Linked DNA regions of Drosophila melanogaster. Changing the gene in region 1 together with any one later gene gives a genetic interaction. Each region holds a gene or a part of one and is shown on either strand. Other genes may lie near its edges.

Region 1 (3,754 bases):
GCTCAAACAATATTACTTTTAATAATATAAATACACGAATACATACAACACATCTATGAATGAAAAAGCGAACGAATGAAACAATAAATACATATATATAATTTAAAACAAAAGAGAGAATGCTTTAGTCGAGTTCCCCGATAATTATATAACCGTGTCTCAGCTAGTGTGAATGCGAGCGCGAAATTTTATTATTTTTCTGGGATATCGATAGGAATTGGAAAATAAAATAAGAAAAATTGATCAAAAGTGTGGGCGTGGCAGTTTTAGGCGGCTTGTGGGCGGTAGAGTGGGCGTGGCATCGTGGGCCCCATGTTTTCCTTTGCCGTTGGCGGTGTGGTAAGTTTTTCTTAATTTTGTAAATCAATTTTTATACCTAAAATTTCCAGCCACCGCGCTAACCAACTCGGTGTGGCTAAGGAATTTTGGTCGGAACGTATCGACGTATTGTATACTTGACATGGTCGGAGACCAATACATTTTCAACGAATCTAGTATACCTTTTTACTCTACGAGTAACGTGTTTACTCCCTTCATATTCTATTTGTTGCTTTTGTTGGAGTCCAGACCCATTGATACCGCTGGCGCCCATCATTTGAATCATCGAGTACAGAATATCCAGGAAGTCTGTCTATTGGCAATAGAATTAAGATTTTTGAACATATAACATCCTTTTTTATGGGTATAGAACATAAGGTTGAAGGTGGTTAAAGTCAAATAAGTCAGTTAGTAATAATGAGCACATCGATTTCCAAAGCTCTGTATGTGTCACATTCGTTTAAAAGTTTGAAACAGCAAAAAAAAGCCATGTTTGTCGGTCCGTCGGTATCTCGTGATCTGAGACACTATACAGGCTAGAAAGGTGTATAAGATATGTTGTCACACCCCGAACTCCCAAATCAGGAAGAAAGCATCTGCTTTGCTCATAATTTCATGGTTTTATTACCAACTTATGTCATGCTGGCTATGCAGGTATTGATGTTGGGCACAAAGGCGTTGCAGCCGTCGACCACCTTCTTGGTGGCATCGACGTAGCAGGAAGAGGTGTTGAAGGGCAGGGCTGCGCCCTGCTTGATCAATGTGTTCATGCGGCGGACAAGGGACATGGTGGCGTAGAAGGCCTTCAGGGTGCAACGCATGAAGCTCTTGGTGGAGGAGACGACGCTCCTGGAGGTGGAGGCGCACAGCTCGGACTTCATGTTGATGATCTTGTTGCTGGTGATGATCATTTGCTTGACATTGTTCAGCATGGCCTGGATATCCTTGGGAATATCGCCGGTGCAGGTGCTCAGGTCGTCTACGTAGTTGGTGCAGGTGAGCAGCACATTGGCCACCTCCTCGACGATGCACTTGGTGCCGTTGATGCCCTTGTATCCGGCCCACAGAATCTTGCGGCACGATCCAATGAAGCCGAACTGCTCGACGCCCATGAACTCATCCTCCATTGCCATCAACTCGGCGGCGTAGAGATCCTTAAGCTCGGCATCGGTGTAGGGCTCGAAGTCCTCGAAAGCACCTACGGCACTGGCCTAAAACAAGTTAGGAATACGATTCGATTTTGGAATAACTGTCAAAATATTTGACTTCAAGTAGCACACGTTTTAAAAGCACTTCGGAAAAAAAATTGAACAAAATATATTTGCTTTAAGCGACGATTCTGTTCATTAAATCTTTGTTTGCTGCACTTTTCGGATTTTTTTCAAACTCTAATAACGATGGCACTTGACTGTATTTGCTAGTAGTTCTTCATAAGGTTGTCTGACTTACGTTCGCTGTGGCCAGAAGGAAGCTGGCAGAGGCCACGACCAAGAGGCAGACGTTGAGTACTTTCATGTTACTGGTGGATGGTTTCACTGGCGAATGTTTGCTGACCGATCCGTGGGGTTTGTTTATATAGACGATTGGCCGGAGCCATATCAGTTAAGTGGCGATTCGGAGGTTCGATTTGCACATACACTTTGGAAAACCAATGTGCCGGCGATATGTATGCTTTAATTAAACCACCACACAAAGTCCGAAACTAATTTGACATTATCTATGCAGCGTGGACACACAAAGGAAGATAGCGAGATAGTCATATAGCCAGATTGTCCAGATTGGACAGGGATTCCTCAGGTAAGTCCGACACCACCCACCGCAAGCACTCCCATATATCGACGCGATGCATTCGATGCATAATCGCTCAAAGAAATCAATGGGTATTTTATTTAACAAAACAAAACCCTTGGAAAAGTCACCTATCTACGTTGTCAACGTCTGAGTGACAGCTTTTTAATATTTAAAGTGGCTTAAATCTAATTTATAAATAAGCATGAGCATTACAGTAAAAGAAGTATCGAGTATATTAAAAAACTAATTATACCAAAGAGAGAGCCTTTTATCTTCAAACCTGTCTCATGGCCCTAGGTTAAGGTGATCATATCTGTTGAGATATTGTTTTTGTCACACTTCCATTTTTATCAATATTCAATAGTGATAGAAAGTACACTCGCACTGGTTTTCGTTTAGGGGTGCAGACATTTGGTTAACAGTAACTAAACAATTATCTAACTATTCTGTACTCAATAAAATATAAATTTGTATTATAATTGAATTACTATTAATTTACTCTGACTAAAAATTGTATAAATTGTACAAATATACAAATATAGGTATGTTATAGAGCAACTTGTTATATTCCACTTAATACTTTTTGCAAATCGATGGAAATTCGCAAGACTAATAAAAATATAAAAAATATCATATATACGATATACCAGATCGACTCGGCTATTGATCCTAATCAAGACTATATGAAAACGCTTCCTTTTACTTTACGAGTAACGGTTATAAAAATTTAGTTACGAATAGTAATAAAAAGGCTTTCTCTCCTCTAACAAAATTAAATAACTAGCAAAAACTGTGATAACACGGATTTTTATTGAATGCTCGAATCAATTGCGGGCACTAAACCCCTAAGAAGTCAGCTTGGAGCAGCTGATGATGTTCTGGGGAAAGGCGGTGTAGTAGGTGGTCAGGGTGTTGACGGCATCGGAGACACAGGCGACGGCATTGGGACCGGTTTGCGGGATCTTCTTGGCCAGCTTGATGGCATTGTCCACTTGCTTCTTTAGGGACCACACCTTGCGCAGAGTCTTAACAAAGCAGCTGCCAGAGACCTTCGTCTCCTCGTCGTCCGTTTGGGGGCAAGTGTTGGACCTCAGATTGATGAGGTCGTTGCAAGTGCTGAGGATCTTATTGTTGGCGTTGATCAATTTGGTCACATCCTTGCTGGCGGTGACGCCGCACACGACCACGTCCGTGTTAAATTGGGTCGCACTGTCCTTGATGCCCGCCACCCACTTGATTATGCAATTGAGTCCCTTGATGCTTCGCAGAGCGATCTTTAGGGATTTGTAGGTCGTACTCAGCACGCCAAAGTCCTCCACCTCCAAGCTACCATCGGTCACATCGTCCAGTTCTGACGAAGAGTCCAGGGCGCTGGGAACAGGAGCCACCAATGCATTTACCTGGAATTTAAATATTTGCTACCATTGCGCAAATAATTTGTATTTTTCATTGCAAAACTTACGCAAAACAGGCCCAAAGCCAAAATAAGAATGGTATACTTCATGCTGTCGTTGTTTATAAGCAACTATGAAAACCGTTTCCGATTCGGCCCTTTTATATCGCTTGGTTTTTTAACCCTTTAGTGGTCAGGTAGGTCTTGTACAAACAGAAATATAATAGATATCTAGGTTCATAACTCTATTAT
Region 2 (3,754 bases), on another chromosome or scaffold:
GGACGTGCCGCGTGTGGTGGTCCTGGAGGCAGCGGTGCTGCTGCGAGCGGGCTGGGAGACCAATTGCCATGAGGTGTGGTCCATGATTGTGCCACCGGATGAGGCTGTGCGGCGGATTATTGAGCGCAACAAGTTGAGCGAAGTGGAGGCCCAAAAGCGACTGGCCAGTCAGGTGCCCAATTCTGAGATCGTGGCCAAGTCGCATGTGATATTCAGTTCGCAATGGGATCACGAATTCACCCAGAAACAGGCGGAGCGTGCGTGGAAAATGCTTACCAAGGAACTGGACTCTTACCAGAGCAGCCTTTAACCCGATGGATATTTAGATTATCTTGTTGATCCTTATTTTGTATGATTTTTTATGCATTTGTTGTATATTGTTTAGTTGTAAGTCCAAAGTTGAAAAGAAATGCTGGGACGTCATTGGGGAAAAACGCTGAAAATTTCAATGGAACCTTAGTGGCTCTCGCCCTTCTTGCCAGCCACTCGCTTGAAGTCGTTCATCTTGGTGGTCATGATGGGGGAACCGATGAAGCCGATATAATCAATCTGCGTCACATCGCCACCTGACTGATTGTTCTTCACGAAGATTTGGATGTTTTGCACATTCTGGAACTTGACGTAGCGCAGATTCACGGGCACTCCACTCTCCAGCTCCTTCTGAGCCAGGCTGCAAAATGGATTGAACAGTGAGAAGAGCTAAGCAGCCATAGAGAAGGCAATAGCTACCTTAGATCCTGCACACTGTTCATGGACTCGGCCATGTCAAAGTCAATCGTGCGGGGCTGGTTAATGAACAGCTTCACATCCTTGGGACCCAGGTGCGAAGGTGCCTTGAACTTCAAAGAGTGGATCTTCACAGCCTGATTAAAGGTGATGGACAGGATGAGCTGCTCATCGCAATCGGACTGCAGGTAGCCACCGGCGGAGGCCAGGGCGTGCTTTAAGTTGTGGTCATCAGCTTCGTTGAGGCACTCGCACTCCTGCTTCGAAATAAATGTATTCAGTTCCATCTGTAAGAAGGATTAGGGATTATTTTTGGAACATTTCCAAATACTGCACTATATTACCAATCCCTGCCCGTAATCCTCGCCCCCCTCCTCGCCACCGGATGTACCGATGTGCTCCTGGATCTTGGCCTCGAGCCCATTGACGTCCGCACCCTGGACGCGATCGATCTTGGTCCTGTTCCTGTAGAAGATGAATGTTGGCATGGCCGAAACGCCCTGTCCAGCAGCCGTGTCCTGGCACTTGTCCACATCCACTTTCAGGAAGATGGCCTTTGGGTACTTTGTTGGAAACGTCTCGAAGATGGGCGCAATCCGCTTGCAGGGACCACACCACGAAGCTGTGAAGTCCACCACAACCAATTGAATGCCCGCTTGGGCCAACTCCGCCTGGAAGTGGGACTCGTCGTTGATCACGCGCACGGACATGGTGATAGGATTAGGTTTCTATTAATTGAGCTTTTGTTTCGGCAGCCGAATTGGATTTAAGCAAGTAAATGTTATTATTAACGTTCAATGCAAATTTTTTTTGTTAAAGATGACTTGTAATATGCATTTAGTCCAAATTCGTGCTAAGAAAAATACCGAATGCGGTATTCCACAAGCGGTCACACTGTGATGGTATCGATATTTCGAGCTCTTTGACTTCCTATTTTTAGAGGGACCATTTATGTGTAATAGAAAAAAACCGAAACTTAATATTTAAACTTTTATTGAAATATTAGTGGATTACAATATGTAAAACTATGAAATATTCTCATTTGATATAGCTCAAAGTGTTATTTAAAATTCATTCAGTGTTTACGACTAGCAATCTACGCTTTCACGCTCATCTTAAGCTTACCGCCCATTTGCCAGGGTTGTCAAGGCGAATGAGCGGTCCCACCATACACGCCACTGGAACTTTCGATACCTGCGCTGCGCCTGGCCACACGTTCATTACCTCGTGGTGTTTCAGTCGGTCGCATTTTCATTAAGTCGCCATTTTAAAATTATTAGAGTCAAGTACAATGGCAGATGTGGAAAAGGAGCCCGAGAAGACCATCGCCGAGGATTTGGTGGTGACCAAGTATAAGTTGGCCGGCGAAATCGTCAACAGTGAGTATTCCTTGGCCGGAAACAGCGAACGCTGGCCGATTCCTGGAGTCGCTGCTACGTGGCGCTTACACAATGCACCGAATGCCGCTTTCCCTTGTGCGCCACGCGTTGGTTAATCTGCCTATTTCTGGACTCTGTCTGCTCGTTTAATTTTAGAAACCCTCAAGGCGGTAATTGGACTCTGCGTGGTTGATGCCTCCGTCCGGGAGATCTGCACCCAGGGCGACAATCAGCTCACCGAGGAGACCGGCAAAGTAAGTGGTGGCCACCTGGCGGTCATTCGCGCCAATTTCATGTCCAATGATTAAGACTTACACCTTTGAGGGTTTCCCGATGGCGAGCCATGTGCTGTGCGGGCTGGGGATCACCTCGTGGTCGCCAGGCGCACGCGGGGACTCCAATGCTCCACGTGCCCGGCTTGTGTGCTCTCCAAAAGGTCCCGAGGATTTACAGATTATGAGATCTGAGGACACACCGCGCACTATCATTGATATATAGTACAACGAACAAGCAATCTAATGCTTTTATCGATCTTTCACAAACAGGTATACAAAAAGGAGAAAGACCTGAAGAAGGGCATTGCCTTTCCCACCTGTCTGTCCGTCAACAACTGTGTCTGCCACTTCTCGCCAGCCAAAAACGATGCTGACTACACGTTAAAGGCCGGTGATGTGGTCAAAATGTAAGTTGAACCTCCTATTCCACATATACCGCCACTAAATACGTAACATTTCTTTTCTACAGCGATCTGGGTGCCCACATTGATGGTTTCATTGCCGTGGCCGCTCACACAATTGTGGTAGGCGCTGCTGCGGATCAGAAGATCAGTGGTCGCCAGGCCGATGTCATCCTCGCCGCCTACTGGGCTGTCCAGGCTGCCTTACGTCTGCTCAAGTCCGGCGCCAATGTGAGTCCTCCCTTACTTCTAGGTAATCCTCCGTTAATCCCTGCAAGAAACGGATTGTCTGCCGCGATTCTCCAGCGACTGAACATCTCAACACTTGCAAAGATCAGCTGTGGCAGCTGGTAATTGCCCTGGCCTATTATTCAGGACTGGAGGCTTCTTGTCAGTTGTCCACAAGGTTATTTCTTCTGCAGGCAACGGATTGACTGCGCTCAAACTCTGACACAGATCAGCTCAACACCTGCGGATAGAAACTGTGTCAATTTCGTGAACTGAACAAGTTCATTCCATAGAAGTGTTCGGTCTTTAAATTTGTCCACATCTCCAGTTTATAGATATGTCGGAATTGTAATCTGCAGGCAACGGATTGTCTGCTGCCTTAACTCGTGGCTCAGCACAGCTCAACGTCTGCAGAGATCAACAGTGTCGATTTCGTGAACTGAACAAGTTTAGATACTTGAAATGTTCGGTCTTTAAAGTTGTCCACAATCGCAATGATAATGCCGATCAGTTATTGTTATTTTGCGTTATCTATAGTATACTATGATATTTGATTAAGATTAGTCAAAGGGAATTGGAATGTTTTCTTTATCTCTGCTTTGAACTATTTCCATTTTATTTCATACTTAATATTTATGTTTCAATTCTGTATCCTTACAGAACTACTCCCTCACCGATGCAGTGCAACAAATCAGCGAGTCGTATAAGTGCAAGCCCATTGAGGGCATGCTCAGTCACGAGCTGA

What was found.
Region 2: of CG5445 (region 1) and Txl, changing one suppresses a phenotype caused by changing the other (phenotypic suppression), as found in Drosophila melanogaster (one study listed by BioGRID).

What each region holds. Positions count from the first base shown.
Region 1 is NC_004354.4:17,280,861-17,284,614, forward strand, and holds the start of CG5445 (uncharacterized protein), read left to right. Parts: upstream 1-1,635; 5' UTR 1,636-1,767; coding exon of another isoform or gene 1,768-1,833; 5' UTR 1,834-1,984; intron 1,985-2,043; 5' UTR 2,044-2,115; intron 2,116-2,901; exon of another isoform or gene 2,902-2,954; coding exon of another isoform or gene 2,955-3,509; intron 3,510-3,571; coding exon of another isoform or gene 3,572-3,613; exon of another isoform or gene 3,614-3,640; intron 3,641-3,754. Other genes in the region: CG8664 (uncharacterized protein), read right to left, coding at 951-1,529, 1,768-1,833; CG8661 (uncharacterized protein), read right to left, coding at 2,955-3,509, 3,572-3,613.
Region 2 is NT_037436.4:5,763,692-5,767,445, reverse strand, and holds Txl (Thioredoxin-like), read right to left. Parts: upstream 1,601-3,754; 5' UTR 1,437-1,600; coding exon 1,071-1,436; intron 1,014-1,070; coding exon 730-1,013; intron 671-729; coding exon 457-670; 3' UTR 362-456; downstream 1-361. Other genes in the region: Ppat-Dpck (bifunctional phosphopantetheine adenylyltransferase - Dephospho-CoA kinase), read left to right, coding at 1-310; CG10576 (uncharacterized protein), read left to right, coding at 2,018-2,105, 2,262-2,359, 2,651-2,787, 2,850-3,012, 3,670-3,754.